Xenopus tropicalis: one gene and its partners. The protein of the gene in region 1 interacts with the protein of each later gene in a pairwise test. Links are inferred from orthologs where the notes say so. Each region holds a gene or a part of one and is shown in the gene's direction. Other genes may lie near its edges.

What was found.
Region 2: the proteins of arl6ip1 (region 1) and ndrg4 interact in binary tests that used the Homo sapiens proteins (3 or more experiments, as listed by UniProt). The two-hybrid records come from large-scale screens. The link is inferred for Xenopus tropicalis from reciprocal best matches to the Homo sapiens genes ARL6IP1 and NDRG4.
Region 3: the proteins of arl6ip1 (region 1) and snx10 interact in binary tests that used the Homo sapiens proteins (3 or more experiments, as listed by UniProt). The two-hybrid records come from large-scale screens. The link is inferred for Xenopus tropicalis from reciprocal best matches to the Homo sapiens genes ARL6IP1 and SNX10.
Region 4: the proteins of arl6ip1 (region 1) and inpp5k interact in binary tests that used the Homo sapiens proteins (3 or more experiments, as listed by UniProt). The link is inferred for Xenopus tropicalis from reciprocal best matches to the Homo sapiens genes ARL6IP1 and INPP5K.
Region 5: the proteins of arl6ip1 (region 1) and shmt2 interact in binary tests that used the Homo sapiens proteins (3 or more experiments, as listed by UniProt). The two-hybrid records come from large-scale screens. The link is inferred for Xenopus tropicalis from reciprocal best matches to the Homo sapiens genes ARL6IP1 and SHMT2.
Region 6: the proteins of arl6ip1 (region 1) and gad2 interact in binary tests that used the Homo sapiens proteins (3 or more experiments, as listed by UniProt). The two-hybrid records come from large-scale screens. The link is inferred for Xenopus tropicalis from reciprocal best matches to the Homo sapiens genes ARL6IP1 and GAD2.
Region 7: the proteins of arl6ip1 (region 1) and acsf2 interact in binary tests that used the Homo sapiens proteins (3 or more experiments, as listed by UniProt). The two-hybrid records come from large-scale screens. The link is inferred for Xenopus tropicalis from reciprocal best matches to the Homo sapiens genes ARL6IP1 and ACSF2.

Annotation. Positions count from the first base shown.
Region 1 is NC_030685.2:32,818,612-32,823,165, forward strand, and holds the start of arl6ip1 (ADP-ribosylation factor-like protein 6-interacting protein 1), read left to right. Parts: upstream 1-1,556; 5' UTR 1,557-1,658; coding exon 1,659-1,694; intron 1,695-4,554. UniProt on the Homo sapiens protein: Positively regulates SLC1A1/EAAC1-mediated glutamate transport by increasing its affinity for glutamate in a PKC activity-dependent manner.
Region 2 is NC_030680.2:75,844,070-75,848,595, forward strand, and holds the start of ndrg4 (protein NDRG4), read left to right. Parts: upstream 1-1,505; 5' UTR 1,506-1,725; coding exon 1,726-1,762; intron 1,763-4,078; exon of another isoform or gene 4,079-4,102; coding exon of another isoform or gene 4,103-4,145; intron 4,146-4,526. UniProt on the Homo sapiens protein: Contributes to the maintenance of intracerebral BDNF levels within the normal range, which is necessary for the preservation of spatial learning and the resistance to neuronal cell death caused by ischemic stress.
Region 3 is NC_030682.2:41,694,704-41,698,667, forward strand, and holds part of snx10 (sorting nexin-10), read left to right. Parts: intron 1-294; 5' UTR 295-323; coding exon 324-347; intron 348-2,869; coding exon 2,870-2,953; intron 2,954-3,534; coding exon 3,535-3,635; intron 3,636-3,964. UniProt on the Homo sapiens protein: Probable phosphoinositide-binding protein involved in protein sorting and membrane trafficking in endosomes. Plays a role in cilium biogenesis through regulation of the transport and the localization of proteins to the cilium.
Region 4 is NC_030678.2:45,854,306-45,859,064, forward strand, and holds the start of inpp5k (inositol polyphosphate 5-phosphatase K), read left to right. Parts: upstream 1-1,720; 5' UTR 1,721-1,744; intron 1,745-4,759. UniProt on the Homo sapiens protein: Inositol 5-phosphatase which acts on inositol 1,4,5-trisphosphate, inositol 1,3,4,5-tetrakisphosphate, phosphatidylinositol 4,5-bisphosphate and phosphatidylinositol 3,4,5-trisphosphate.
Region 5 is NC_030678.2:139,768,552-139,773,143, forward strand, and holds the start of shmt2 (serine hydroxymethyltransferase, mitochondrial), read left to right. Parts: upstream 1-1,390; 5' UTR 1,391-1,446; coding exon of another isoform or gene 1,447-1,479; intron 1,480-4,592. UniProt on the Homo sapiens protein: Catalyzes the cleavage of serine to glycine accompanied with the production of 5,10-methylenetetrahydrofolate, an essential intermediate for purine biosynthesis.
Region 6 is NC_030682.2:25,243,848-25,247,811, reverse strand, and holds part of gad2 (glutamate decarboxylase 2), read left to right. Parts: intron 1-2,243; coding exon 2,244-2,333; intron 2,334-2,456; coding exon 2,457-2,630; 3' UTR 2,631-3,964. UniProt on the Homo sapiens protein: Catalyzes the production of GABA.
Region 7 is NC_030686.2:43,861,039-43,865,002, reverse strand, and holds part of acsf2 (medium-chain acyl-CoA ligase ACSF2, mitochondrial), read left to right. Parts: intron 1-1,439; coding exon 1,440-1,538; intron 1,539-1,636; coding exon 1,637-1,785; intron 1,786-2,752; coding exon 2,753-2,841; intron 2,842-3,964. UniProt on the Homo sapiens protein: Acyl-CoA synthases catalyze the initial reaction in fatty acid metabolism, by forming a thioester with CoA. Has some preference toward medium-chain substrates. Plays a role in adipocyte differentiation.

The DNA of each region.
Region 1 (4,554 bases):
TCAAAAGGTGCTTCAACAAAGTATTAGTTTAAGGGTGTGCACACTTATGCACCCACATTATTTTAGTTTTTTTGTTTTCTTCCCTCTGCCTAAAAGATTTCGTTTTGTTTGTTTTTCAATTGAGTGGTACAGTTTATAGGTCACATTAAGGTGGAAAAAGTTCTGAAATGATTTATCTTTGTCTCATTTTTGTACAGCACAGGAACCTGACATTTTATCAGGGGTGTGTAGACTTTTTATATCCACTGTAGATAAGTACAATTCATTGGCACAATATTGTTTTTCACACACTATGTCCCCTTTAGGGCCATGGCAGACAGGGAGATTAGTTGCCCGCGACAAATCTCCCTTTTCGTGTGCGACTAATCTCTCTGAAATGCCATCCCATGGGATGGCATACGCGGCACCACGATTTCCTGAAATTGCAGAAGTTTCCTCTCAAGACAAATTCCGCGGTGTCGGGAAATTGCGGCGCCGCGAATGCCATCCCACCGGCGATTTATATTCTAGCCGATGGGATGGCATTTCGGAGAGATTAGTCGCCCACGACAAGGGAGATTTGTCGTTAGCAACTAATATCCCCGTTTGTCACGGCCCTTAACTGTACCTCCTTCGGATTTGCAAATGTCGGGTTTTGCATCATGAGTCTCTGGATGAGTGAAATAAAGCAACAGGTATAGGCTGCACTGCGTTTGGCTACCAGTCACACACCTGTATAGCCCTTAGTCCATCGGCTGCTCCCACTGTGCCTGAGGCCTGTTCAGAGAATTAGGGCCACATTAGCAACAGTAGGAGGGGTCTGCCTGCAGAGCAAGGCACCTATAATAGCCCAGAACAAGAGAGCTACTGCAATGGATGCTTGTTACAGGAAATGGATCAGGCCCTCAGCACTCCAACCAGTCACAGTAGCCGAGCTGGAATCCTGTTTGGGGTTCTGCTAATTGGGGGCTCTGTGCTGGGCTTAGGGGTGATGACACCTCAATTAAACTGATTGGGTACTCTGTAGGGGGATATAACTATGGTTATAGCAGACTCTGCGACTTGAGGGGGCCTAGAAGTTATACGGGGCGCATGGGGCACTAACTTGCTCCATGTTTACTTGTTTTAATACAAATGTCAAAAGGCAGCCACATTCCACCTCAAAAACTCATGCAGTTTTGCCCATGATCTGTGGAGGGCGCTGTGAGTTTCACAGTTGTGTAGCTGTTCAAGTCCTAGGTATGTTCTTTCACCCGCATCAGAATTTTCCCCACAAGAGGTATGCCAATATGGGCATGCAGTGCCGCCGCCTCACCGAGTAACGCAGTGTGTAGCTGCGCCTCTCCTTATTGTCACTCTGCCGAATGGATAGCACATGGATTTGCAATGCCCTACACGAAACCTTTCCTTTTGTTTATCACACCCCTCAAGCGTCAAAACGGCTATTCAAAAAATTTCAAACATTTGTAATGTAATTTGGCAGATTTATCATACAACATCGCGATTGGCCGACTGGTCTGTGTTTTTGCTTAATCCCACCAATCCTAAATCTATTGCTTGTGCTGTTGCTAGGCAGCCTAGTTCTCGTGAAGGATGCCGGGAGCCGCCTTATATGTAACAGTGCGTTAGCTGCTCGCTGCCAGTGTGAGAGTGCGCTCTAGCAGGGACTGTGACAGACAATGGCGGAAGGGGACAACAGGAGTGCCAATCAGCTGGTAGGTGCCGTAGCGGTGATTAAACAGTGCGGGCTTTCTTGGTAAGAGGTTATACGCAGTACCATTAATATAATATGCTGACAGTCTTCCAAATGCTATGCTAGTTACTGCAGGCCTGACTCGGCAAATCAATAGGAACCTCCCGTGTGAATGACAGGCTGTGCGGGCTGGTTAGTGCAATGTGTGTGTCGATTTAATCGCTTGCAAAACCTCATGTTATTCTGACAGAACAAATACTGATAATCAGTGGAACCGCAGTAAGGACGTATTGTGCCAAGGGCTGGAAAGGGAGGTTCTTTGCTAGAAGAACGTACGATTTGATTCCAGGATGTCTGCCCTGTGGCCCTCCAGCTGTTGGACTAGTGCTAGTTACAAGTCTGTGGCCCTTCTGCTATTGGGCTAGGGCTTGTTACAAATCTGTGGCCCTCCAGCTGTTGGACTAGGGCTTGTTACAAATATGTGGCCCTCCAGCTGTTGGACTAGGGCTTGTTACAAATATGTGGCCCTCCAGCTGTTGGACTAGGGCTTGTTACGAGTCTGTGGCCCTCCAACTATTGTACTAGGGCCTGTTACAAATCTGTGGACCTCCAGCTGTTGGGCTAGGGCTTGTTATGAGTCTGTGGCCCTCCAGCTATAGGACTAGGGCTTGTTACGAGTTTGTGGCCCTCCAGCTATTGGACTAGGGCTTGTTACGAGTCTGTGGCCCTCCAGCTGTTGGGCTAGGGCTTGTTACAAGTCTGTGGCCCTCCAGCTATTGGGCTAGGGCTTGTTACGAGTCTGTGGACCTCCAGCTGTTGGGCTAGGGCTTGTTATGAGTCTGTGGCCCTCCAGCTATAGGACTAGGGCTTGTTACGAGTTTGTGGCCCTCCAGCTATTGGACTAGGGCTTGTTACGAGTCTGTGGCCCTCCAGCTGTTGGGCTAGGGCTTGTTACAAGTCTGTGGCCCTCCAGCTATTGGACTAGGGCTTGTTACGAGTCTGTGGCCCTCCAGCTGTTGGGCTAGGGCTTGTTACGAGTCTGTGGCCCTCCAGCTGTTGGGCTAGGGCTTGTTACGAGTCTGTGGCCCTCCAGCTGTTGGGCTAGGGCTTGTTATGTGTCTGTGGCCCTCCAGCTGTTGGACTAGGGCTTGTTACGAGTCTGTGGCTCCAGGTGTCGGACTAGGGCTTGTTACGAGTCTGTGGCCCTCCAGCTGTTGGGCTAGGGCTTGTTATGTGTCTGTGGCCCTCCAGCTGTTGGACTAGGGCTTGTTACGAGTCTGTGGCTCCAGGTGTCGGACTAGGGCTTGTTACGAGTCTGTGGCTCCAGGTGTTGGACTACGTCGCTAGGACTGTGTAGCCGTAGTTGTTGGATTAGGGCAGTGGTTTCTGTACTTTTTTGGGTCAAGCACATATTTGACACCCAGTATTTGGCTGCCGCCCCATCAGCTCATAACAAGGTTATTGCCATATGTAATCTTTACTATTAGCTATTCTGCCATAGTTCCAAGAATATCTAGGGCAGCAAATAGTGTTCTCCAAAAACACTTACACTAATTGACTTGTAAGTTTGGCTTCCAAGGTTGAAAAATATGCATTCTACCCAAATCTCTACTAACTGGCATATTCTGGGCCCCTGTAGCCGAGGCTTTGTGTACAAAATCAAGCTGGGCAAAAGGCCATCCACTTCTATCTGCACACTGACAGGTACACTATGGGCCTGAGCGGATTTTGGCACAGAAATGCGAAAGTATGACACCCGCTTTGTGTGTGCATGTGTAGGCCAACAACATGCCTGTCGGTGCACTTACAGCAAGAAGTAGATCAGCATACATTGGCTTTTTCTACAGCATGGGGTGCCACTAGTCTAACGGCTGGAGGGCTGCTGGATGGACACTTTACAATTAGCATTGGCTAAATGACCATTGTCTTAGTCTTCTAGTTGACATTATTGCAGGACAGCAGCTGTTGGGCCCCCGGTTGGACATTTATTTAAAGTATTTTTCAAAATTACATTTCTGTACTGAGTTCACTGTGGCTCCAGTATTTGGGAACTTGCCAAAAGGCTGATCTATTGCACTTCCACCTCCCGTTGCCAAGCTGTCGGCTAACTGGCCTGAAATTTTTATGAGGCAGTAGGAAAAAATGCAAGATCTTATGACCATGATAATGCAAAATGCATCAAACTCTTCTTCTTCTTGACGCTAACCCTTTTCTAAGTTAAAACGAAAACTGGACCAGGTTGTGTTTCCTTAACTTGAGGTCCTACCACAAACCCTTTTTTAATATTTTGAGATATTTTGGTGTTTTTTAGTCATATTCTAGTAAAAGGTGTTGGGTGGGGGTATTTTATTGCAGCATTGACTCATGGCAGGCTGATTGGACTGGCCTTTGAAGCCTCTAGGAAGGGTGTTGCCTGTTATCAGCTGATTAGTGGCATTGGATGCAGAGAATCGGGAAGCAAAAGAAATTCCAAATGATTTATAGTTAACACTGTTAACCCAGAAACCCCTGCATAATAAATGGTAACAATCAGACACAGGAGTAAATGTTAGTACTGCTATAACTAATACATAATATTATACATTTTACAGTACTGAATTTCAGTTTGAGGCTTTATTAATGCATATCAAGGTCATATGTTTGTAGTCATGTTAGAGAGATGTGAGGAGAAAGGAAAGATAAAGCTTCCTGTAATCCATTTATTGAGCAATTATGTCTGCTTGCCCAAACAGACATTGATTTCTTTATACTTCCTGCACAAGACCTATTATTGTTATTATTAAAGGAGAAGGAAAGGTTTAGTCATTGGTGGGTGCCCCCCAGTGATTGTATCATCATTACCTGATACCCTGGGCCGGTGCTCCTGTTAGCAGAAAACTGAA
Region 2 (4,526 bases), on another chromosome or scaffold:
TTTCATTCCCATATCTCTTGCATTCTCTACCAATGCTTTACTGAAGAGATCACTGTTTCTTTTCTGTCATCCCTGCACATAATCCTGATATTTTGCATTGTTCTATCTCTTGCACTCTTTATTTTCCATCTATTGCCCATAAAAAGGATCTTAGTATGCCCCAGAGAAAGATTGCTCCACCTCAGAAACCAACCACTCCTCTACCCCCTCCCCACTGACGCAGCACAGCTTCACCCAGTGTATTTCTCTCACTTTATCCACCTGCCCTCCTCCTATTCCACAAACCCACATCCCTGTATATATTACTATTTCCCCCCGCAGGGACGCATAACCTGTTATATGCTATAAGCAGGTGCTAACAAAAGGCACAACCTGGGGATCCAAAACCTGGTGTGGGCACACTCGCTCACTTACCCTATAGAGTTTGCCCCTCCCTCTTTTTGCCACCCGTGCCACTGAGCAGAATAGAGACAGCTCAACACGTGGAAAAACAGCCAGGCTTCATCTGGGAAGGAAGAGGAGGATCTGAGGGGAGAGGTAATTGTAAATGCCTGCCAGAGGGGCTACAAATGTCTTTGGTGGCAAGGAGGGGGGTTTATTAGACACTAAAGAGGAGTAGGCAGACAGAGAGACATTTAAAATGGTGCCTGTCTGACAACCATGAGATGGCATATAGAAAACTGTCTGCCATTCCTATGTTCTTCTTAAGCATAGGTTTTTTTTTGTTTTCACATTGAGACGGGGAAGAAGCATAAAAAATGGCAGCTTACTGTTTTTGCTAGATTACATAGCTTTATAGGGTTTAAAGACTGCTGACAACCCTAAATTGCTAGTCACTTGTTGGCCTTGATTGTTAATATACCAAAAGGTTATTGCCAACTATTGACTAATATGGTACTGTTGAATTCTGTTTCCAGATAGAAATGAAAGGGTTACTCTGATGACTGTTTCTTGACACTCTAGCATTTCCTGGTTGGTGTATAGGCACAGCGTCAGGGTATAACCCAAACAGTTAGTTTAATTTCATAGTCCTAGATTATCTTTATATCCTTACAGTTATTGTTCTAAATTGTGTCATCTGGAGAGAAATCCATAGAGTCACTTTCCTTCTATATATCTTTTGTTTTTGCTTAGATGTAATCATATGAGATGATTTAGATAAATGCTTTAAGAGAATGCATTCACTATATAGCAGGGATGACAGAACAGCTAATGCTCCCAGTATCTGCTGGGGCTAATGGGAGCTGTAGTTAAACAACATATAGCCAGATGTTTTTTCTGTGTGCCACCTATGCAGCACATGCATTCAATTCATTGTCAGGGGCAAGCCCCTTATACTGTCTAACATATCTGCATTGAGCTGTCACACAGATTGTGCTGGCTGGCAGATTGTCCCTGGCACTATTCCCCTCTCTCCAGCCTCCCTCCTCCACTCTCCATTTGCTCAGTCACTCCCCTATCTCTCGCATTCTCTCTCAAAGCTTTACTGAATAGGCCACTCTTTGTTCCTTTCGGTCATTCCTGCACACACTCCTCTTATTTTGTATTGTTCTACCTATTGCTCATTTAATTTACTAGCCATATAAGACTGTATAAAGCTTTGCTTTGCTGGACAGCTCCCTGCCTTCTTCATTCCCCCTTCCTGCTTCTCCCTCTCAGACAGCTACATCAGGAGGTCTCTCACTCTGCCTGAAGCAGTTATTTGCTGCGTTGTCTGCAGAGATAATGAAGCTGCTGGGGCATAAGATAGAGCTCTGGGCAGGTAATAGTCTATGGGTTTGTAACTGACTTGCTGCATATTTAACTGTCTACGAGTCACCTTGCATGCATGTCCCTGAGAATTGTGCTGGTGCAGTAATTGTGTTGGAGTTGGTTGTGAGCTTTGTACGGCTGGGTGTGTTCTTTTGCAGTAATGAAAATCTCTTGAGGGACTGTCTTCCAAACCTCATAGCAGTCTAAAAAAGAACATGTGGTGTTTTGTGGAAAATGAAACTTAGAATGATGTGGACATTTTCTTTCACGTTATTTCAGTAAGGAGATTTATTTTCTACTCCTGTAAAATGCCTTTTAAAAAAAAAAAAATATATAGTTGAATAAGCTTAAATGGGGTTTTGAAGGAGCTGTATGTGCTTTCTGAACCTATATATAGACTCTGATTTGCAAAAGAGTTTTTAAGTCCATGGCCCCTGAGAAATTTCTAAAAAAATGCAATGTACAAGTAATATACTTTGTCCTGTACATTTCCAGTTAAATGTCTGTAAGAGTTATAGAGCATTCATTTCTTTCAAAGGCTGGTACTGTTCCCCTGCTGGTTTATCGTTCCCTATGTATTTAAAGGATCCTCAATGAAATATGTGCTGTTCTTATTGATTTACGATTACAGTTCGCCATAACATGGATTCCTGAGATTTTAATAACATGCATTGGACTTTACAAAGATGCCATGCCTGAACTCAGATTTAAGCAAGATGATGTGGATTTAGAAAGGGGCATATGAACAATTTTTTGGGAAGGATATGCTCTGAGAATTTTATAATGAACACTTTACATTACACAAGTGCTTAAAATTTGGTAAAGGATGTACTTCCTTAGAATTATAATAATTTGGTAACAGAAATCTGTCTTTAGAATTTGCTGTATGATGAAAGTACTGAGAAATTGCTAAGTAATATTTGACTGAAAATTAGGGGATTCAGCTAGAATGTGGCGAGGGACATGTGTGATGAGAATCTGGTATAGGTAGGGGACATGCTATCCAGAATTCTTGGAACCTGGGGTTTTCCGGATAAGAGGTCTTTCCTCTTCATACCTTAAGTCTACTGAAAAATTATTTAAATATTATTTAACCCCAGAAGGATTGTTTTGCCTCAAAAAGAATCAGTTATATCTTGCTTAGGGTCAAGTACAAGGTACTGTTATAATTACAGAGAAAAAATAAATCATTTTAAAAATGTGAATTATTTGATTAAAACGGAGTATCTGGGAGATGGCCTTTCTGTAATTCTGGATAATGGGTTTCTGGATAACTGATATCCCAAGAATGTGGTAATAAGATGTGCTGAGAAACTAAAACATTACATGCCAAGAATGTAGTTATAAGATCTGTGCTGAGAAATGGGTGAGTAATGTGCCAAGAATGTCGTAAGGGGCATAGGAAATGAGATTCTAGTAGTGCAGATATCTGCTGGCAATTTCGAAAGGCACCTGTCCTCTTTTGGTAAGAGACATATTGATGAGAATTGTTATGTAACAAATATAATTTTGTTAGCAATATTTAAGCCTAGGATTTTACGGGTGCACAGTAAGAATAAGTTTAGTCATAACTTAGTTAGTCAGGAAGATGATTTTACTTGTCAGTTTCACAAAATACTTAACAAAAGCTATTGTACCAGAAGACAGTACAGATATAATTACAGTTTTTCTGAAGTCCATGTACTAGAGCCCCGTTCCTTAATCTTAGGCCTTCAGAGGTTTCTGGACTAAAACTCCCATCATTCTTTAAAATATAATCAAGACTGAAAGCCTGCTGGCTATGTAATACAACAATATTTGAAGACGCAAGGTTAATAAACTGGTGATTAGAATTCCACATTAAGAGGTATCATTAAAAATACCACTGATATTATATACTGAAATTGTTTTTAAAATACATAACAACATTTGTCCTAAGATGCTGTTGAGTTGTGCAGTTGTTGACTTAGAAGTCCAGAATTGAGAATGTCTCATCTTAACTATAGTGAATTAAAGCAGCATCTAACTGCGGTGGAATTTGCACAATAATCCTATTAAGTGCCCTGTAGCAGGTTAAAGTCTTTGGTGTTTATCAGAATGTAAAAATCTTCTGTCACTGGGATCTACTAAGTTATTGAATTTTAAGTGGCAAATCTAATTTTTTTTTGGCATGTGTTTGATATTTCATTGGGAAGTTTAACAAACAGCATTGACATAACAAAGAAAATGTGGGTTGGGAAAGTGATGATGCCTACTGGAGGATGGGTGTGAGGAATGTACATATCTGTGGGAGGAGGCTAGGAATGTGTATGCCCATTATTTCGATTTGGAAGGTGGAGCTCTTGATGTCTCTGCATGCTCTGGGCGGAAGATGTTTTCAACCCTGATATCTCTGTGGCATGGGGAAGAGAGAGGTATGTGTTCAGGCTGAGACTGTTGGTTTGTAGGAAAAGAAACCTTATACAGTATGCCTATTGTTTGTGGTTTTTTCCAGAAAAATTTGTCGCTAAACCACCATCTGTGTGCAAGCCATATTGTCATTTGATTGTTGTATCTTTTTGCTTAAACTGTATGATAGTATGAGATCTCAACAGAAAGTAAGTAATGCAATATCTATTCATTTTCCTTTATTCAACAGGAATTGAAAAGCAAAGACAGGGTGGGAGAAACAGGGTGGCAGAGCGAGAAGGTGATAGAATTTGTCTTAAATTAGGATAAAAAACAGCGGGCTGGAAGTTCACAGCTTCCTGACAGTGTTCTGCGTAGCTCGCACCTCTCAATGTGACTTAGAGAAT
Region 3 (3,964 bases), on another chromosome or scaffold:
TTGAGTCAGTCCATATATTGCTTTTAAATGTCCACTCTGTATGTCCATGTGTCAGTATTTTTGCTTCTCTGCAGGTATATTTAATGGCAGTAACATTGTGCCTACCTTATATTTTGGGAGCTCTAGCCCTAGATACAATTCTATAAGTCTTTTTTAATTGAACCACTTGAAAAATCCTTCAAATAAAATTAATAACAAAAATAAAATAAAACTGCACGCTGGCTCAGTATGACCTTGTTGCATTTATTACAAAAATATTTGTTGAGTATTAACAGTATTCTTTTTCTATTGCAGATATTCTGTATTTCGGCTGTTATAGAAGTATGTTGCCAAGGGACCAAGAAGGTGTAAGTGATCCTCTATGTCTATTTTAACTAACGCTTACCCATAGCTGTCAAAAATGGTGAGCATATAGACCCCCCAGTTCTTCTCCGCCTGATGGCAGTGGTGGTCAATATATTCCATGTGCCTTCATGTACTAAATACATTAGTTTCAAGACGCAGTGCCCTATTTTATGCCTCGAATAATGGGTTTTCTAAAATCCATTATTTATGTTATGTCTATATGGTTAAATGCGTTTAAACAAGCAACATGGATATCTTCTCTCTGAACTGTTCCAGTATGATACATTAGTTGTTGGCATTTCCAATCAGCATATTTAGCCACTACAGGTATTGAACCCCTTATCCGGAAACCCAATTATCCAGAAAGTTCTGAATTGCGGAAAGGCCATCTCCCATAGACTCCATTGTAATCAAATAATTCACATTTATAAAAATGATTTCCTTTTTCTCTGTAATAATAAAACTGTACCTTGTACTTGATCCCAACTAAGATAAAATTAATCCTTATTGGAGGCAAAGCAATCCTATTGGGTTTAATTACTGTTGAAATAATTTTTTTAGTAGAATTTGTTTTTTTTGTTGGAGATCCAAATCACGGATAGACCCCTTATCCGGAAAACCCCAGGTCCCGAGCATTCTGGATAACCGGTTCCATACCTGTATTAATATTTATCCCACACTTGCAAGAATGACTACAACTAATGTATCGAGTTGTGACAGCTGATCTCTATACCTTTTTATAAAACTTAAAGGGCACCTGGCCCTAAAATTGTTTCCCTACCAGAGGTGCGGGCTTCCAGGCAGCTTGTGGTGTGAGCAGCTATGTTAAGTGGGGCAAACTCTGGTTTGGGGAATCAATAGTTTTCTTTATTAGCCCACAAGCAATTTTAGGGTGATAGGTGCTCTTTAAGAGAAACAGGAGTAACTTATATGTCAAATAATTAACAGTTTAGAGAGTTGGTTGCTACTAGAAAGGTGAAAAAACAAAGCAAACCGACTTAAACTGCATCATAGAAAAACTATGAAACTAAAAAGTATTTATTTTTGTGTACTATTAAAAAACAAGTGAAGGTAAGCGGTTGACATTTAGGGCAAAAATGCTTTTACTATATTCAACTTAATTGGCTCGTTTTTAAATTAGGCAACAGAAAAAGGCTAGAAAGTTTTTTTTTTTTTTTTTTTTTTTTAAATCACAGCTTCATGTTAATGGCAGCAGTCAGGAAGCAGCTAGGGATTGAGTATTTGGGCAGATCAGGTTAGGTAAGAACCACAAAGCAGTCAGACCTGGTGTCCTGGCCATTCATTTGGTCCATGGGCTGAATTCTATAATATATTTCTATGTATATAATATATATATATATATATATATATCTAATATTAATGTAGGGCACAGAAAATATTTTCGTCAAACTGACTGGAAGTATGGCCTGGCACAGTTGTTATTAAACCCTGTTTAATCCAAGTTTTGGTAAATAATTTCCTTACATTTTTAGAATAACTATTCTATGGTAGTTTTAAAGCATGCAACTCTATAGAAATTGGGTACGTTTATAGTGACAGAAGAAGTACTAATTACAAGTGCATTTAAAGAAATAAATGGGTGGGTAAGGGGTGAATAATAAGTCTTTTTCTTTTCCTCAGTACTATAATCTATAAATCTATGTTTTGGTCATCATATGGGATCCTGAGATCTCCAAATAGTGAGACAACCTCCTATTACTTTAAAGATAAAAGATACTTGGCCTCACAAATGCTCAGGAAAGAGGTTTGGTGTATCAGAGAGAGTTAGAGAGATTCCAGCAGTGGCAGCACATGAAGTGCCCATAAATACACAGAGGTATGCCTACCTTTTGAACAATAAGCAAATATTGTGGCTGAGGAGGTACTGTTCTGATCCATTAAAAATGCAGACAGTTGAGCACACCTTTTAAGTAAAGAAATATTTGTGACCTATAGACATGCAGAAATGATTATCAGCTTAACAAGTGTACTAAAATGTGCTATTGCAATACACTTACGGCTTAAACTAGCGTTTCATTGTTTATAGATCAGTTGCCTTCTTACGAACCAAAGTGCGGTAAATAGTTGGAAGCCTATTACTAATTTATCAATTGTGCTGTGTAATTTGTGGTCAGAAAACACTGAGTCTAGTGTTCAGGTAAACACATAACTCACTCAACTTGTTATTTATTTTATGTAAACTTGAAACAGTGCAATTATAGCTGGGAGTATTTTTTTTTAAATTTCTAAGCATTCTAGTTTTTAACCATTTTGGTAAAATGGCTTAATAGTTTTTTCATTGTTTTGCAATCTTAGAAATCCTTATCTTTCTTCCTCTATAGCTCTGTGAAGACAAAAATTCCAGGGCATGTTTAGTCTGGTGCCTTTTTGTTTTCCCTTCCCGTTTCTGACATTATATAAGGCAAAGTTTGCATTCACAGTGGAGCTGAGTGAGGCTGATCAGCAAGTGCAGATTGCAGGGCACAGTGGGTGCTGGACTAATTTCTAAATCATGATCTTACAGGAAACCATCTCTGTGTGGGTGCGAGACCCTAAAGTACAGAAAGAAGATTGGCATTCTTATGTGGATTATGAAATCTGTGTTCATGTAAGTATCAGGGTGCACTCTTTTCATACTAATGACTAAACAGGACTGTCCTGTTACAGCTTGAAAATATAATCCTTATAGCATGCTGGGTAGGAGCGGTTTAAGGTTGGCTGCCACAACTAACATGCTGTTTGTATTAAAAGTTGGGTCTGGCACCACCTTCCTCTAAACTCACCTCATGTAAGGTGTTTATTTTGTGGCAGTGAAACAGACCAGCCCAAGTCTGTGCAACAACAATTGTCAGTTGTGTGTGTGTGTATAAATATATAATTGATGTATATTTCAGAATATGAAATGTGTTTCTCAATTTTTTTAAAACCCTGTGAATGCTGTCACTTGTACTGTTTCTAGTCCATTTGGCATTAGCACCAAATCAGTTATTTTTTAATGTGTGTGTATATGTATATCTTTATTTATTTGTATATGTATGCAATCCCTTTATCTGGAAACCCGTTATCCAGAAAGCTCCAAATTAAGGGAAGGCCATCTCCCATAGACTTTATTTTAATCAAATAATTGAAAAACAATCCTATTGGATTAATTTGGCGTTTGATTGTTTGTTTGTTTTTTTTTTCCCCCAGACAAACAGTATGTGTTTCACTCTGAAAACTTCATGTGTAAGAAGAAGGTTTCGGGAATTTGTATGGCTCCGACAAAAGCTCCAGAGCAATGCTGTATTAACGTAAGGCTATGTTATTTTATACATTGTTATACAGAGGTACAGCTAAGTTTGTATAATACACTATGGCATCGATAAAGCCCCTGATTAATTTTGCTGTGCAGCAGATCTTCAAAGAGACACCTTCTCTCTATGCAGCCTATACACAGACTGACAAAAACAAACTCCCCCTGCCCCGGCATGAGCTGAGGCTAAATGCTAATTTTACTAACTATGTAGGTTGTCCTGTGTTGAATTTTTGTATGAAAGTAAAATCGGAAGGGTGTTCACTACTAAATGTCACCAGGTACTTAATGCTGTGGTTAATATGGTTGTTTTTATGGTGTCTTACA
Region 4 (4,759 bases), on another chromosome or scaffold:
CAGATTGGGGGCAATATGATGGGTAATGGCCCAGGTACATGGGGACAATATGAAGGCTGCTGGCATGGCTACATGGACAGTCAGAAGGGGGAAGGGTTGGATGATGGCAGATTCTGACTATCTGGGCCTCAGGGTTGCGATGTGTGACTGCTATGACTGGGGACTGCTCTTTCTTGTGTGCTGTGATTATTTGGTTGTATTTAATTTATATAAATTAAGTTTCCTTATAAATGTGTTGTAAGATGAATGAAACTGTCTGTTGTGCCACTAACAATTTTATTTAAAATGCAAAAAAAAAAATTAAACTGTATAATAGTGAGGTGGGAAATGGTAATGCGGGGGGCGGGGGTGCACTGATTGAAGCCTTTGCCTAGGGTGCCAAAATACCTTGGCCCGGCCCTGGGTCCATCAGTCTTCCAGGGATGCTGTACCTATAGCTGTTCTGTTGTGGGACTGTACTTCCAGCATTTGCTTCCCTATTCATGTTAGCACTGGAATGTTGTGGGTTAGTGTGTATGTTTCATATGTGGGGCACATGTAATAAAATGTTGGAGATGAACATGTATAAAGCACCTATACTTGCTGACAGAGGATGTGATGGCAGGGCTACAGTGGCTTTGACATTTGCAGAGACATTTTTGCTGCTGGTGATGTTCAGTTTTATTGGTCCAGATTTTTTGGGAGGGTCTCCTGGGTTAAGTCTGGGTAAATCTGACTGAAGTTGAACACAAAATGTAAACGTAAATAAGGCCCAAAACCACAAAGGTCTCATTTATGAACAAGTAAGAAATGCTTGAAAAATTGTTTACATTCTATTGCTATCTACAGAGGTGCTTCCTTTAATATACACTCATAATATATATATATATACCAATTTGCTTCATCTGATATCCTTATAAAGCCCTTTGCTCTGTTCCCTTACATCTTATTATTAACTTTACTATAATTCATCAGTCACCTAATTCCTATTATTTGTGACTTTGTTTTATCTCCCCCCCCACTTCCCCCAGTAAAATAACACACACACATATATAGTGGGGGGGGGAGATAAAACAAAGTCACAAATAATAGGAATTAGGTGACTGATGAATTATAGTAAAGTTAATAATAAGATGTAAGGGAACAGAGCAAAGGGCTTTATAAGGATATCAGATGAAGCAAATTGGTATATATATATATATTATGAGTGTATATTAAAGGAAGCACCTCTGTAGATAGCAATAGAATGTAAACAATTTTTCAAGCATTTCTTACTTGTTCATAAATGAGACCTTTGTGGTTTTGGGCCTTATTTACGTTTACATTTTGTGTTCAACTTCAGTCTCCCCCCCCCCCACTATATATGTGTGTGTGTTATTTTACTGGGGGAAGTGGGGGGGGAGATAAAACAAAGTCACAAATAATAGGAATTAGGTGACTGATGAATTATAGTAAAGTTAATAATAAGATGTAAGGGAACAGAGCAAAGGGCTTTATAAAGATATCAGATGAAGCAAATTGGTAAGCTGGGTAAGTAAGATGGAGGGGCAGATGTACAGCGGCTTTACAGTTACTACAGGGAGTACTAAAGCAAATCCCAACTCTCCCCGCAGCTTCTCTCTGGCACACTACTGGCACTGCTTCCGAGATAGCCCCGCCCACCACTCCTCACACACTGGCAGACAAACAGGAAGCAACAGTGAAGACAGAACGGGAGAGAACTGATTTCCTCAGCATAGACAGCCGCACCAGGAGAGCTGATAAGGTACTTTTATTACTCGCTGAGGAAACGCACCCCTACCAATGCCAAGCATTGGGCCCCACAAGATACACTCAAATAGAGCCACCACATCAGATGACTACATCCTTGGTATTAGTCTTTCGCACCATCCCACACGCATCCCCTAGCAACTCACTGGGCATGGCCTTATGACGGCAGGGTAACACCCAAGCCCCGCCCCCGGAAGGGAGGTCGCATACAACCAAAACAGAACAGGGAAAAGTTGTGTGTGTGAGAAGCTTGTTCGGCCTGAGAGGTAATGTCACAACCTGTATTCTTCTTATTTTGCTCTGTTTCATGTCTGGACGTGGCTGAGTCTTGCTTTCGTTGTTAAGAACAGCTTTTTCTGAGCTGCTGGGAGACGGGGTTTCAAATCATGCTGAAGCTGCTGCACACCAATAACATACACATACATGCTTCTCAGCTTTGTCCCATTTATATGTTATACGTGTCCAGCCCTTAATGCAGAGCTCCTATTTGAGTTCACATTGAGATGGGGTAATGGCAGATTCTGTTAATGCCTTTAAGAGGGGCCTGGATGAGTTCTTGAACAATCAGAATATCCAAGGCTATTGTGATACTAATATCTACAGTTAGTATTAGTGGTTGTATATATAGTTTATGTATGTGAGTGTATAGATTGGTAGATGTGGGTTGTGTGCTGGGTTTACTTGGATGGGTTGAACTTGATGGACTCTGGTCTTTTTTCAACCCTATGTAACTATGTAAGGGGTTTTCTTCCCTTTCCTATAATTGGTCCATCAGTCTTCCAGTGAGGCTGTACCTATAGCTGTTCTGTTGTGGGACTGTACTTCCAGCATATGCTTCCCTATTCATGTTAGCACTGGAATGTTGTGGGTTAGTGTGTGTGTTTCATATGTGGGGCACATGTAATAAAATGTTGGAGATGAACATGTATAAAGCACCTATACTTGCTGACAGAGGATGTGATGGCAGGGCTACAGTGGCTGTGACATTTGCAGAGCTGACAAGCTGTACTGCTTTTTTTGCTGCTGGTGATGTTCAGTTTTATTGGTCCAGATTTTTAGGTGGGGGGTCTCCTGGGTTAAGTCTGGGTAAATCTGACTGAAGTTGAACACAAAATGTAAACGTAAATAAGGTCTCATTTATGAACAAGTAAGAAATGCTTTATTGCTATCTACAGAGGTGCTTCCTTTAATATACACTCATCTATATTCTATATATATATTGTATATATAACAAAATGTTGGTTTATTGTGCTTTTATTACTGCAGTACAGCGGGCAAAGTACAGGGCACACACAGGGTAGCACTGGAATTAACACCTGCCTGAAGGAGCTGTTTCTTCCTGTGTTTGATCCTACACATACAACTGACTTCCACAGCAATAATATTCATACACACATTGAAGCCAGAAAATGGCATCGCAGCTTAAAGGAGAAGGAAAGGCAAAGTCACTTGGGAGTGCCAAAATGTTAGGCACCCCCAAGTGACTTTAATCGCTTGCCTTGTACCCCGGGCTGGTGCCCCTGTTCGGAGAAAACAGCACCAGCCCGGGGTACCTGTAGCGATGCGCTTCCTCCTTCCTATTCACGCTGCTGCTTATTGTCCGGGACAGGTGCATGCGCAGTAGAGTGAAAAGCCGACTTCTCTCTTAAAGTTTCTCTTTTCACTCTACTGCGCATGCGCGCGCAGTGAAGCAGGAAGGAGCAAGTGCTCGCAGCTACCCCGGGCTGGTGCTGTTCTCTCTGAACAGGGGCACCAGCCCGGGGTAAAAGGTAGGCTATTGAAGTCACTTTGGGGTGCCTAACATTTGACTTTGACTTTCCTTCTCTTTTAAATACAATGTACCAATGCAGTTTGAACAACCTGTAATGGAAGGATTGTGATATAATCCAGGGATACCAGTATACTTGATTGCACAATGTGCCTGATAATATATATACAAGGGTATCGGTTTGTGTACAATGGTACCCATTTTGTTTATGAATTAAAAGGGGAACTTTAGTTCTAATCCAACATTTATTAAAGAGCCCTGCACAACACAGAAACCCCTAATATACCATCACTGAAATATGTTCCTTCAAAAAGTATGAATAAATACCACTTTTTGTATGTTGAAATACAGCTGCAAAACAGTTGTTTTTCTGCATCATTTGAAATCCTGGCAGGGAAACAGGGACTAAAGCAGGCATCCTCAACCTACGGCCCGTGGGCTGGATACAGCCCCCCAAGGTAATTTACCCTCCGCTATGATCTGACGCAAGGGGGAAGCCATAGGGGAGCAGGAAGCAGTGGTGAGCTGCTAACATCTGATGTAACAAATTGTAACAGCATGCAGGAACTACATAACCCACAATGCATTGCTCAGTGATGTTACTTTCCTTATTGACATCACCTGTGAAGGGATTTGGAGGATGCAGGCTGAAGGCAGTCAACTACTGTTAAAGTAGTCAGCCATTTCAGCAGAAGCGTTTGTACCTGAGGAAGAGCAATGTTGGTGCCGGAAACACTGGATTTTATTCAATAAAACTTTTTTCTTGTGGGAGCACTGTACCTACCTTGAGCAGGCATTTAGCACAGGGTTCCTGTTGCATCTTGTGCCTGTATAGGGGGAGAAAATGCTTTAAAAAAAAAAAAAAAAAACCCTAGGCTGTGGCTGGACACGTTAACAGGCTGGGTTTGTGGAGAGGCCACAAAGGCCCGGGCCTAGGGCGCCAGAAACCTGGGGGCGGCATGCCGCCCCGCCGCACCAAAATTGTAAAAGTTTTGTCCCCATACGGAGCAATGGGGACTTCTCCCCACTGCTCCGTATGCATGTTTGGCCTACAGCGCATGCGTGCGCAACCCCGCCCCGCACTGTTCACGCATGCGCGCGTAAACCCCGCCTCCCCTTGTTTGCACACGCATGCGCACTGGGGGGGGGGGGGCGTGCGAGCGGGGGCAGCCTCTGGGCGGCCAATTGGTAAATCCGGCCCTGCACGTTAGCTACTGTTAAAAATAGGGGCAGAGCTGAGGA
Region 5 (4,592 bases), on another chromosome or scaffold:
CATCTGCCACAGTTTATGCTGTTCAGTGTGCAAGTGACTTATGTGCCATATTTTTTAGGCACAAGTGTGATGCGCCTATTGACTCTGAGCACAACCAAAATCGTTGGGCTACCACCTGGTCTGGAAGTTGTGGTAGTGTCACGGTTCCTGTGTCAATAGGCAATAGTCATACACAATTGCATCATAGCATATTGACCCCTTGAATACAATGATGCTGGAATTCTGGGAAAATACATTGTTGAATAAAAAACATGGCGACTGCGCTCAAAATTGCCTATTGCTCACTGTGCTTGTGAATGAGTCTTTTTGTATGTCAGGGAAAAGTGACAGCTCTGGCCAGCCTTCTCCACCTGTGCACTTTAGCACACTCTATATTTGTGCAATTTTATTTCACACAAGTAAAAATGATCTTTAGTGCTTTTTTTTAAAAAGTTGTGTGCACAGAGATGAGTGTGTCTGCATCAGTAAAATTCACTGCATTTTCTACAAATTGTTGGATATGGCAGCCTGTCATGCTGGGTGGGTAAATGGCTTAGCGGGAAGCAGTGGCATAACTAAATGTAATTTGCTCCACAACAACCCAATTATTGGGCCCCCAAATACTTTAGTAATGCATATTTCACTCCCCGACACTGCTGTATTATAATAACTCTGTGCAATGGATCCCCAACCTGTTTTACTTGTGAACCACACTCAGATGTTAGAAGTGTAGGGGAGCCACACAAGCATGAAAAAAGTTCTTTGGGTGATGCCAAGTAAGGGCTGTGATTGGCTACTTGGTAGCCCCATGTGGGTTGCTGGCCTGCAGGAGGTTCTGCTTGGGAGTAAAATGTAGTCTCTGTGCTTTCAAAACTTGCAGCCAAGCCACAAATGTAAATATGGGCACCCTCTGAGGCCAGTGGGAGCAACATCAACAGGGGTGATGAGCAACATGTTGCCCCTGAGCTAGTGGTTGGGGATCCTGCTCTACCCCACTGAAAAAGTACTGCTAGAACATTCTTTAAACATGAAGGCTGTAAAGTGTGGTGAACACTAGGCAAGGTATATACACAGCACGAAACCATCACCTCTTCTGCTAATACAGGATAACAGATTTTACACAGGGTCATATTTAAACGCATTTAAAATATAAGCTGCACGTCCACTCAAAAGATGCTCAGAATGTGACGCCGATGAAAACCGACGCTTGCCAAATTATTGGTGAAATATAAGCCGCCCAGAAAAATCGGGAGTTGTAGTTTCAATAAACGTGAGACACAGAGGATATCGTCTCATAAAAACTACAATTCCCAGCATGCCATCGTGATGCCATACATGCGCGTTTTTTGTGCTGCCCCCATGCGGCAGCGTGGCAGGTGTAAGTGCGCATGATCACACGTGTTCAGTGATCCATAAGGGGCAAGAGGCCGGAGTGGGGCTGCAGTGCTAGCCCGGGGACTAGTAGACATGCTTACGTTTTCTTTACGGCGCTTGGCACAGGTACGTGGCATAGAACTCAGGCACCGGCTGCTAGAACAGTGCTGTCCTGGTGACTGTCATGTACTGAGCTGCACAGGTTAGGGTAAGCCTGAACTGTCATGTGGGTGATGTAATATAACTCATATGGGATGCGCTATCCTGGCATGGGCTAGGGGACCTCAGGCATACATTGTAAGTACAACACTTAACCCTTGCTTAGTCAGTAGCTTACCTAGAAATTCAGCTTTTTTTCCCTATGTTCCTACAGCTTCCAACATGTGTTCTTGAGTTGCTGAGAGTTTTAACTGAGGAGCAACAAGTGAGGGATCCCTAGCATAGCATAGTATAGCATAGCAGGGGTTGCTAGGCTACGTTTTGAACCCAGATGAAGCTAAAGCTTAACTGTACCAAGGGCAGCTTGCATCACCTCATTTGGCAGGGTTGATTGGTCCATCCTGAATCAATATCTTGCCAAGCTGCCTTGTGTAATCAATAGTATATGTCATTTACCCCCAAGTCATTGCTCAGGTACCAAAAAAGAGTTGCTTCTGATTGGTGCAGGGTATAACACCTAGATATCTAGGTTTTGTCTAGTCATTAACCTTCCAGCAGTTGCTAAAGCAGCAGTTCTATTCAAAGATAAAGGCTCCCAGGGCATAACTACAGGGAATGTGACTACTGGGGAGCCTATGGGCACAAAAATTGCTTTTCCTCTTTAGAAGTTTAACAAACATGCAGTATTATGAGGATAATCCACAATTTAAAGCACATGGTAAGGGATATGAATGGATAGAGTGCCAATGATGTGAGGGGTGAAGGCTGGGAATTAAGTGGCATAACTGCTGTGGTCTTAATTACACCACTAAAAGGCTTTTGGCAAAGATGAAAGTTAAATAGTTGTTTTTGTACTCTGTATCTAGTTTTAGCACGTCTGTGTGCAGCTTAACAGTAAAGGATAAGTACTGACGTGGCATTTACTTTGAAATGGCATTCAATTGCTGCTATCCCCTAACAGGAGCTTACTTAGATTTCTATGTAGATTGATGCTTGCCAGTAGTGGCTATGCCAGTCCTTTACATTGGCTTATTTTCCTGGCATTACCTTTTATTAAGCCATATAGCATTCTCATTTACTGCTGTGCTGTTAATAATAAGTTGTGACTGTTTGTGCCATATGGAACATTCCAGCTTGTTTACTGCTCTTTTATTGCTCTGTTAATTTTTGCATAGAACTTGCTTGTGCAGTTCATTCTCCAGTATGATGAAAAATACATCCTCACAGGACATAGCCTTTGTGGTTTGGTGCAACTTGTTGCATGTCAGCAGTTGCTGCAAGTACAGTCATGCAATCATTTTACTAACAAAGTCGATTTAGTGCCAGGTCAGGCGGCAGGCAGGGGTACCGTTCCAAACCACAGGGAAGCATGATCATGCAGCTGGTAAACTTCCCTTTGTCAGGAGATGTTATTTAACTTTTGAAGGGAGAAAGATTCAATAGATAATGTTCCTTATACAGTAATATTGCAGGGATATATATATTGAAATAGTCCTGTAACTAACTGCGTATGATAAAGCTTTTTGTTTCTCAGCACTATGGTAGTGGCTGTACTGCGTGGGGAAAGTAATAGAGCTGATAGTTCACTTGTGATTGGTTTCTTTTATCATTCAGTTGCTAATGGTTCAGAAAAAATGGGATCATTATTCCCCCTGGGTATATGCACATGTAAATGCATGTTCTTCCAGTTATGTAAAACACTTTGGGTTTATATTGTAGACGAATAACTAGTCAAACTGTAGGTGCAGCTTAGTAATAAAATCTTTGGTTCTTCAACTGTTCAGCCTGTTCCCAGAATTCCTTCTGAATGCTCATTACTCTTTGAATGTAACTACAGATCCTGACATGTATGTTAAAATCCTACTGTGTATCTTCTGCTGTATAACTATGCATGGCCAGTTTTCTATAACCCCTAAGTAAAGAACCCACGGCACAGTAAAAAGCTCTCTTGTCCACCACCGACTGGACTCCACTGGGAGACTATAAAGGTCATTTACAGATTCAGGTGCAGTTGCACTTCTCCACTTTTCTCTGCAGTGAGTTGTGCGTTAAACCTAATTCATGAAGGGCAGTGGTACACGGGGAGATTAGTCGCCTCACGACAATGCCATCCCACTGGCTAGAATGTAAATCACCGGTGGGATGGCATATGTGTCACTGTGATGTCCCACAGTCGCCTGAAGTTGTCTTTGGAGGAAACTTTGGGCGACTGTGGGACATCGCTGCGACGCGTATGCCATCCTACCAGCAATTTACATTCTAGCTGGTGGGATGGCATTGCGGGGAGATTAGTCGCAACAACGAAGTTTTGTCACGGGGCAACCAATCTCCCCGTGGACCACTGCCGTAAAGGTACTTGCATCAAAATGTGCTCTCTTGCATTTAAGTATGGTTGCACTCTGCCACTCAGTCCTTCCTGCCTTCCGAGACAAGCGTTTCTGTGCCTATTTATGGGGCTCAGTAAACACTGAAAATGACACCAGATGGACTTCTGCACAATTGTGTCTAATTTGCAACATAACTCCTGAACTGTTGCCTTAATTTTGGAGAATCAGATGCAGATGTGACAGACTCAATGCATTTACATCTGGCGCAATGCCCCTTTGTGACTGCCATGATGGTGGAGAAAAAATACTGCATAGTGGGGACACACATGCTGGCTGTTCTCAAAGTTGCACCTTCACCGTTGCATTTGTGGTTGTAAATGTAATATTCATTTAAAAAATACAGGTGCATAGATAGTTGTATCAAGTGGTTACAGATAAATAATTAAAACTTTCTGAATATGCACCCAAACTCTTTTCTAACTGGGGTGCACATGGAGACACACTCACTGTAGGGCTGATCAGACTGTAGCTGTGTAGAACAACTCTGCAACACTGATTGGTGTGCATGGACCCTGAGTGATCCCCAAAGAACAGATTGGATTTTAGGGAGGCTATAGATTAACTGCAATGTGATTGGTCAGGCCAGCATAATACTGGAAAAGCCAGTGTTTTTGAGGGCATGGCTTCCATATGTTGCTAGATGTCCTGAAATGACACTTAGTTATTTTTCTGTATCTTCCTCGTTGATCGAGA
Region 6 (3,964 bases), on another chromosome or scaffold:
CTTGAGAAAATATACAAGTGGATATGATGTATGTATTTATAACGTTATTTATAAAGCACTGTACACCCCTACAATGTAGAAAAGGGCACACAATGAGCACAAGTGTTATAACAAATGAAATAAATAGCATTAACATAGGGAGATTAAGTGCCATGTTGTAAGAGACACAGTAGAAAGGAGGTCACCTTCCCATAGTTCTTACGGTCTAAGTGGGTTAATAAGGTACAGGGGTACTATTTTGAGGGCAAAGTGCACAAAGGTTTGGGCATTGGCCCTTAAGTAGAGATGTAGCGAACTGTTTGCCGGCGAACTAATTTGCACGAACATCGGGTGTTCGCGAACGCGCAAGTTCGCGAACTTTCCGTGTATGTTCGCAATTTGGGTTCGCCGCGTTTTTTCTCTGCATTTTTTCTCAGCCTAAAAAAACGCCGCACAATCATACATGGCGTTTTTCAGCCTAGTACTGGTGTAAGCAAATCCCGTTTCCATGGTGCCAATAGCGCGAAATAGCAAACAACGCCGCGTATTTCCGCTAGGTCTGCCCGTTTTTACGCAACGCTTTTTCAACAAAGTACTTTTTAGAGAAATTTTTGCCCTTGATCCCTCTCCTGCATGCCCCTGTCCAGGTCGTGGCACCCTTTAAACAAATTTAAAATCAGTTTTCTGGCCAGAAATGGCTTTTCTAGGTTTTAAAGTTCGCCTTCCCATTTAAGTCTATGGGGTTCGCAAAGTTCGCGAATATTCGCGCTTTTTGGCGTAAGTTCGCGAACGCGTTCACGAACTTTTTTTTTTAGGTTCGCTACATCCCTACCCTTAAGTGCCAAGACTGTGCCATAATGTTCAAGTGCTCCAAAAGGTAGGATCTGTGTGTCTTTTTGAAGAGATTGAGGCAGTGTTCCTATAGAGGAATTCATGGATGGATTTCCAGGTGTAAAGAGCAGAAAGGTTTAAGAGATGGCATATTATAAACTGTCCAAAATTGGGTCTGCTGTTTTTGTGCCATCATTTGTTGAACAACTTCTGCCCCTTCAAGGTCCCTAATGTGAGTTGTGATTTACTAAAATATGAAGCAGGTGGGGCCATTATGGGAACTGCTATGGGACATAGAAGGGCACCACAAAATGAGAATCTATTTATTGGGTTACTCCAGCTTGTGAAATCCAAATAGGGTCTGATTCAGTTATAGTGATGCCCTGCTGATTCTTTGGGCAGCTTTGAACATGATGACTACAAAAGGTCAGACTTACATTGATTCTCAAGCCCAAAGTCCTGCAATACATAAAGATAGCTGGAACACATTAGGTACCTGTTGTCATAAACCCTTGCTAAAAGTAAAAGAGTTATGGACCTATAACCTATACTCCCTAAAGACAGGTGTTTAAAAGAGAACTGACTTTGCAGGGCCACTTTTTCACAGAAAGCAGGAAACAAAGTTTCAGCTTTTGCTGACGTCAAGTTCCCATCACCCGGTGGGTACAATGAAACCTCTTACATTATACAGGTATGGGATCCGTTATCCGGAAACACGTTATCCAAATTAAGGGAAGGCCATCTCCCATAGACTCCATTATAAGCAAATGCTTCTAATTTTTCCCTGTAATAATAAAACTGTTACTTGTACTTGATCCCAACTGAGATAAAATTAATCCTTATTGGAAGCAAAACAAGCCTATTGGGTTTATTTAATATTTAAATAATATTACTTCATTAATTGTTTATTTAATGTTTAAATAATATTTTAGTAGACTTAAGGTATGGAGATCCAAATTACAGAAAGATCCCTTATCCGGAAAACTCCAGGTCAGGGGCATTCTGGATAATGGGTCCCATACCTGTACATAAAAGTCCCAATATACTGCCTGTAATAAAATGACTTTTTTCGTTCATCCCGGCATAGTATCAATGTAAACCTATTACTAAAATATTTACTTACATTTGTTGCATTATAGAACGTATTCCCCTTTTTGTCCCTGCTCTGTGGCATTTGCTTTCTGTCTGCTTCAGAAGATTTTTTTTAAAAAAGGGGGAACGCACCTCACTTTAGTTTCCCTTTGGTCTAACAACCAAGAAAAATGGAAATCTATGACAACCACAACTACTGTGAAAACATTCAAGAATATGTGTTTTCAGAAATAACCTTTTATTATAGCCACATGACTGTTTTAGTCTAATTATTATGTTCCAGACTGAACTATATTCACAAGGGTATTCAGGTCTAATTTATGATATTCCTGTATTTATAGCCCCAGCACACAAATGTATGTTTCTGGTATGTACCACCAAGTTTGCGTAACATGGAAGACAATGAAGAAAGAATGAATCGGCTTAGCAAGGTAACTTGTTTGGATTTTTTTTAAACGATTGCCGTAGCAATGAAATATATAATGGCAAGCACATTATCCAGTGGAAGTAATGCTACATTGCAGTGATCTTATATTAAATGTGTCTGCTCATAGGTTGCCCCTATCATCAAAGCCAGGATGATGGAGTACGGAACCACAATGGTCAGTTATCAGCCACATGGAGACAAAGGAAATTTTTTCCGCATGGTTATCTCTAACCCAGCAGCAGCGCATCAAGACATTGATTTCCTGATTGAAGAAATCGAGCGCCTTGGGCAAGATTTATAAAATTTCCCGTAGGCCATTTCCAAGTCTATAGGTACACAATGGAGTTCTCTCAACTGTGTGAATGTATTTGTAGTGTGTTCCAACAAGTAATTCGATATTGTGTCGTAGAAACCTGAATATAGTTTTATTGGAGAAACATTGCTCCTGTAATGGTCTTGCATTTTAGGTTTTCACTTTATTGGCCGTAGGTTTGAATCATTGAAGCATCTAGATAATCTACAACTTGTATGTAACACAAAATAACTGCTGAAGTACCTTATATGATTGTGCCAAATGTATCAAAACAGTAGACTTTAAAGAATACTTCATGGGGGCAATACAATTTTAGGATCCAAAATGCCATATTTGCTGCCTGGAAAATTGCATTGCCTTTCTTAGTATTTAGATGGGATTTCTAATTTACATTTGATATATTTAAGACATATAATTTTACTAAAGAGAATATATATATATATATCGATATATTGACTGAAGATATTTTGTAAAGTATAGATTTTATTTTGTATCAGTTCTGTACCTGTTCTACAAAGAGATAACAAAAAGGCATATGAATAAGAAAGAACATTAGGGGTTATTAAATCCTATCCTGAAACCCTGAGAAGGCGAAATGAGTTTAGGCTGCAACTTTATTTTAAACTTAGATGCACGTTCGGGAATCATCAACAGCAGTACCTGAAATTAGGCTTATGTTATTGTGATTAGAAAAGTTCCAACAAGAATATATTGATTGGGCTAATCTATTACCACCGGGAAAATTTGGACCTGGGCAGTTTCCCAAGGAAACCAATCAGATATTTGTTTTCATGCATTACCTGCAACTGGCTGCAAAAAGTTACTCACTTATTGGTTGCTGTTACTCTCCAGGTGCAAATGTGCCCAATGTTGATTGGGCCCCATGACAATACCACCTTCTGAATATCTCTATCATTGACATGATTTCCGTAGATTACAAACCCTGCGTGCCCTAAGCCTGCAGTATTGTGAACATGCTAACATATTGCAGCTCTGTTATTTTAGCTGTCATTGTTGGCTCTAAACTTCTCATGCAAAATAGATGGGATCATCATATGCTTCTTTAGGTGTTATTTTAAAACTTCAAATATAGTATAGCATTGGCACCAGAAGATTTCTCATAGGAGGATGAAAATCTTTTCTCAAACACTGGCACAATGGGACTTATATATTAGTTATATATATATATAGTTATTTTACATATATATAACAAAGTTCAAAAACCTATGGCCTTTCTCAAAGGAACAAACCAAAACCAAGCCATTGAGAAACAACCCCTTGGGAAAAGGTCACAGTTGGCGACCAAATATATAGGTATGAGT
Region 7 (3,964 bases), on another chromosome or scaffold:
TATGTATAAATACAAATATACAGAGAAGGAATGTTCTGGGCACACAATAAGCTGTACCCCCATACTGTACTGTCTAAGGGAAACACTATGGCACCTCCTACCCATATGTATAAATACAAATATACAGAGAAGGAATGTTCTGGGCACAATAAGCTGTACCCCCATACTGTACTGTCTAAGGGAAACACTATGGCACCTCCTACCCATATGTATAAATACAAATATACAGAGAAGGAATGTTCTGGGCACACAATAAGCTGTACCCCCATACTGTACTGTCTAAGGGAAACACTATGGCACCCCCTACCCATATGTATAAATACAAATATACAGAGAAGGAATGTTCTGGGCACACAATAAGCTGTACCCCCATACTGTACTGTCTAAGGGAAACACTATGGCACCCCCTACCCATATGTATAAATACAAATATACAGAGAAGGAATGTTCTGGGCACACAATAAGCTGTACCCCCATACTGTACTGTCTAAGGGAAACACTATGGCACCTCCTACCCATATGTATAAATACAAATATACAGAGAAGGAATGTTCTGGGCACACAATAAGCTGTACCCCCATACTGTACTGTCTAAGGGAAACACTATGGCACCCCCTACCCATATGTATAAATACAAATATACAGAGAGGGAATGTTCTGGGCACACAATAAGCTGTACCCCCATACTGTACTGTCTAAGGGAAACACTATGGCATCTCCTACCCATATGTAAAAAAACAAATATACAGAGAAGGAATGTTCTGGGCACACAAAAAGCTGTACCCCCATACTGTACTGTCTAAGGGAAACACTATGGCACCCCCTACCCATATGTATAAATACAAATATACAGAGAAGGAATGTTCTGGGCACACAATAAGCTGTACCCCCATACTGTACTGTCTAAGGGAAACACTATGGCACCCCCTACCCATATGTATAAATACAAATATACAGAGAAGGAATGTTCTGGGCACACAATAAGCTGTACCCCCATACTGTACTGTCTAAGGGAAACACTATGGCACCTCCTACCCATATGTATAAATACAAATATACAGAGAAGGAATGTTCTGGGCACACAATAAGCTGTACCCCCATACTGTACTGTCTAAGGGAAACACTATGGCACCCCCTACCCATATGTATAAATACAAATATACAGAGAAGGAATGTTCTGGGCACACAATAAGCTGTACCCCCATACTGTACTGTCTAAGGGAAACACTATGGCACCTCCTACCCATATGTATAAATACAAATATACAGAGAAGGAATGTTCTGGGCACACAATAAGCTGTACCCCCATACTGTACTGTCTATGGAAAACAATATATGTATTCTTATCCTCCCCTCTCCATGCTATCTGTATCCATGCCTCCTGTACCTTCATTGTGTAACCTCCTTCCTTATCTTACTCCGTGTGTGTCTGTTTCTAGGGAACAACTGGAAGTCCCAAAGGGGCAACTCTTAGTCACCACAACATTGTTAACAATTCAAGCCTTGGGGGAAGGCGGATGGGCTTCAACTGGAGGAAGGTGAGGCAATATTGGACTGATTCCTGGCATTCCCAACCTGTAATGGATGGAGTCGCCATCTGCTTTTTAAATGACCCAGGGACCCATATTTCTTCCAGGGCGTTAGAACAGCCATCCCGGTGCCGCTGTATCACTGCCTGGGCTCTGTGATTGGGGGAATGGTTATGGCAGTTTATGGTACCACCCTGGTCTTCCCGTCTCCAGGTTATGATCCTCGGGCTCTCCTTGAGGCTATTTCCAATGAGAAGTAAGAACCCTAGATCCCCTCCCCCCCAGTGCCCTCAGGTTCCCCTCTGCCTCATCATTCCATGTTCCGCTGGCACAAAGAGCTTACAATCTATATTAAAGAGCCTGGGGCACAGGCACAAGTAGGGGATGCAGGTTACGAACCCCATGTCTTCCTGGATTCAGAAACCACAAGCATTTGCTATTAAACCTGGTTGTGCCACTAGGTCACACTGCACAGGTCCCGGCATATATCGTATCATTAGTCCAGTGCTCTGTCTGCCAGCAAATCATTGTGTTGTTTGAGGATTCTGCCACCTTCTGGTTGTTTGGTAGTAGAGCACTGCGCTAATAGTCCTATATCTGTTAAGGTCCCCATACACTGGCAGATCCGCTCGTTTGGCGATGTCGCCAAGTGAGCGAATCTTCTCCCGATATCCCCCACCTACGGGTGGGCGATATCGGGAGAATCCAGGGTAATTTGATCATTTGGCCCTGGGGACAAACGATCAAATTATAACGACGGGTATAGGTAAAGTCTGTCTGGGTATCGCATCAATGAGCCGGTGCAGTCCCCGATCCAACTAGATTTTCTAACCTGGCCGATAGAGATCTGCCCGATTTCAGGACAGATATCGGTCGGGCAGGCCCGTCAGAAGTGCCCATACACTGGCCGATTAGCTGCCGAATCGGTCCAAGGGACCCATATCAGCAGCTACTATCGGCCCGTGTATGGGAGCCTTTAGAAGTATATTTTATTGGGCAAATGTCGTTTCATGGTACGTCTTTTGCAATATTGCTTTATGCAGTATATGCTGCCCTCTATTGGTCCCCCCTGTGCACTGCACTTTTGTTTTATGCTGCTCTGTGTCTGCTGTGGGAGTGTTCCGACTCTCTGATAGATGTACCTTTTTAATGAGTTAACTGCACATTATGTTACTTTCTTCTAAGGTGGTTACTGAGTTGCTTTTATTCTGTGTATTTTCTAGGTGCACTTGCATGTATGGAACCCCCACCATGTACATAGATCTTTTGTCTCAACCTAACTTTGCGGCTCACATCTCCACACTCACTACTGGTATGTGATCCATCTGTAGCTTGTTAGGGTACCTGAGCTCGGCAGGCCCAATATATCTGCAGTGGGGGCAATATACTGGCACTGTTATGGGCAGCTTCATTGTCGTAAGGCTGTTTTATTATTACAGAGAAAAGGGAATCATTTAACCATTAAATAAACCCAATAGGGCTGTTCTGCCCCAATAAGGGGTAATTATATCTTAGTTGGGATCAAGTACAGGTACTGTTTTATTATTACAGAGAAAAGGGAATCATTTAACCATGAAATAAACCCAATAGGGCTGTTCTGCCCCAATAAGGGGTAATTATATCTTAGTTGGGATCAAGTACAGGTACTGTTTTATTATTACAGAGAAAAGGGAATCATTTAACCATTAAATAAACCCAATAGGGCTGTTCTGCCCCCAATAAGGGGTAATTATATCTTAGTTGGGATCAAGTACAGGTGCTGTTTTATTATTACAGAGAAAAGGGAATCATTTAACCATTAAATAAACCCAATAGGGCTGTTCTGCCCCCAATAAGGGGTAATTATATCTTAGTTGGGATCAAGTACAGGTACTGTTTTATTATTACAGAGAAAAGGGAATCATTTAACCATTAAATAAACCCAATAGGGCTGTTCTGCCCCAATAAGGGGTAATTATATCTTAGTTGGGATCAAGTACAGGTACTGTTTTATTATTACAGAGAAAAGGGAATCATTTAACCATGAAATAAACCCAATAGGGCTGTTCTGCCCCCAATAAGGGGTAATTATATCTTAGTTGGGATCAAGTACAGGTACTGTTTTATTATTACAGAGAAAAGGGAATCATTTAACCATTAAATAAACCCAATAGGGCTGTTCTGCCCCAATAAGGGGTAATTATATCTTAGTTGGGATCAAGTACAGGTACTGTTTTATTATTACAGAGAAAAGGGAATAATTTAACCATAAAATAAACCCAATAGGGCTGTTCTGCCCCAATAAGGATTATTTATATCTTAGTTGGGATCAAGTACAGGTACTGTTTTATTATTACAGAGAAAAGCGAATCATTTAACCATTAAATAAACCCAATAGGGCTGTTCTGCCCCCAATAAGGGGTAATTATATCTTAGTTGGGATCAAGTACAGGTAC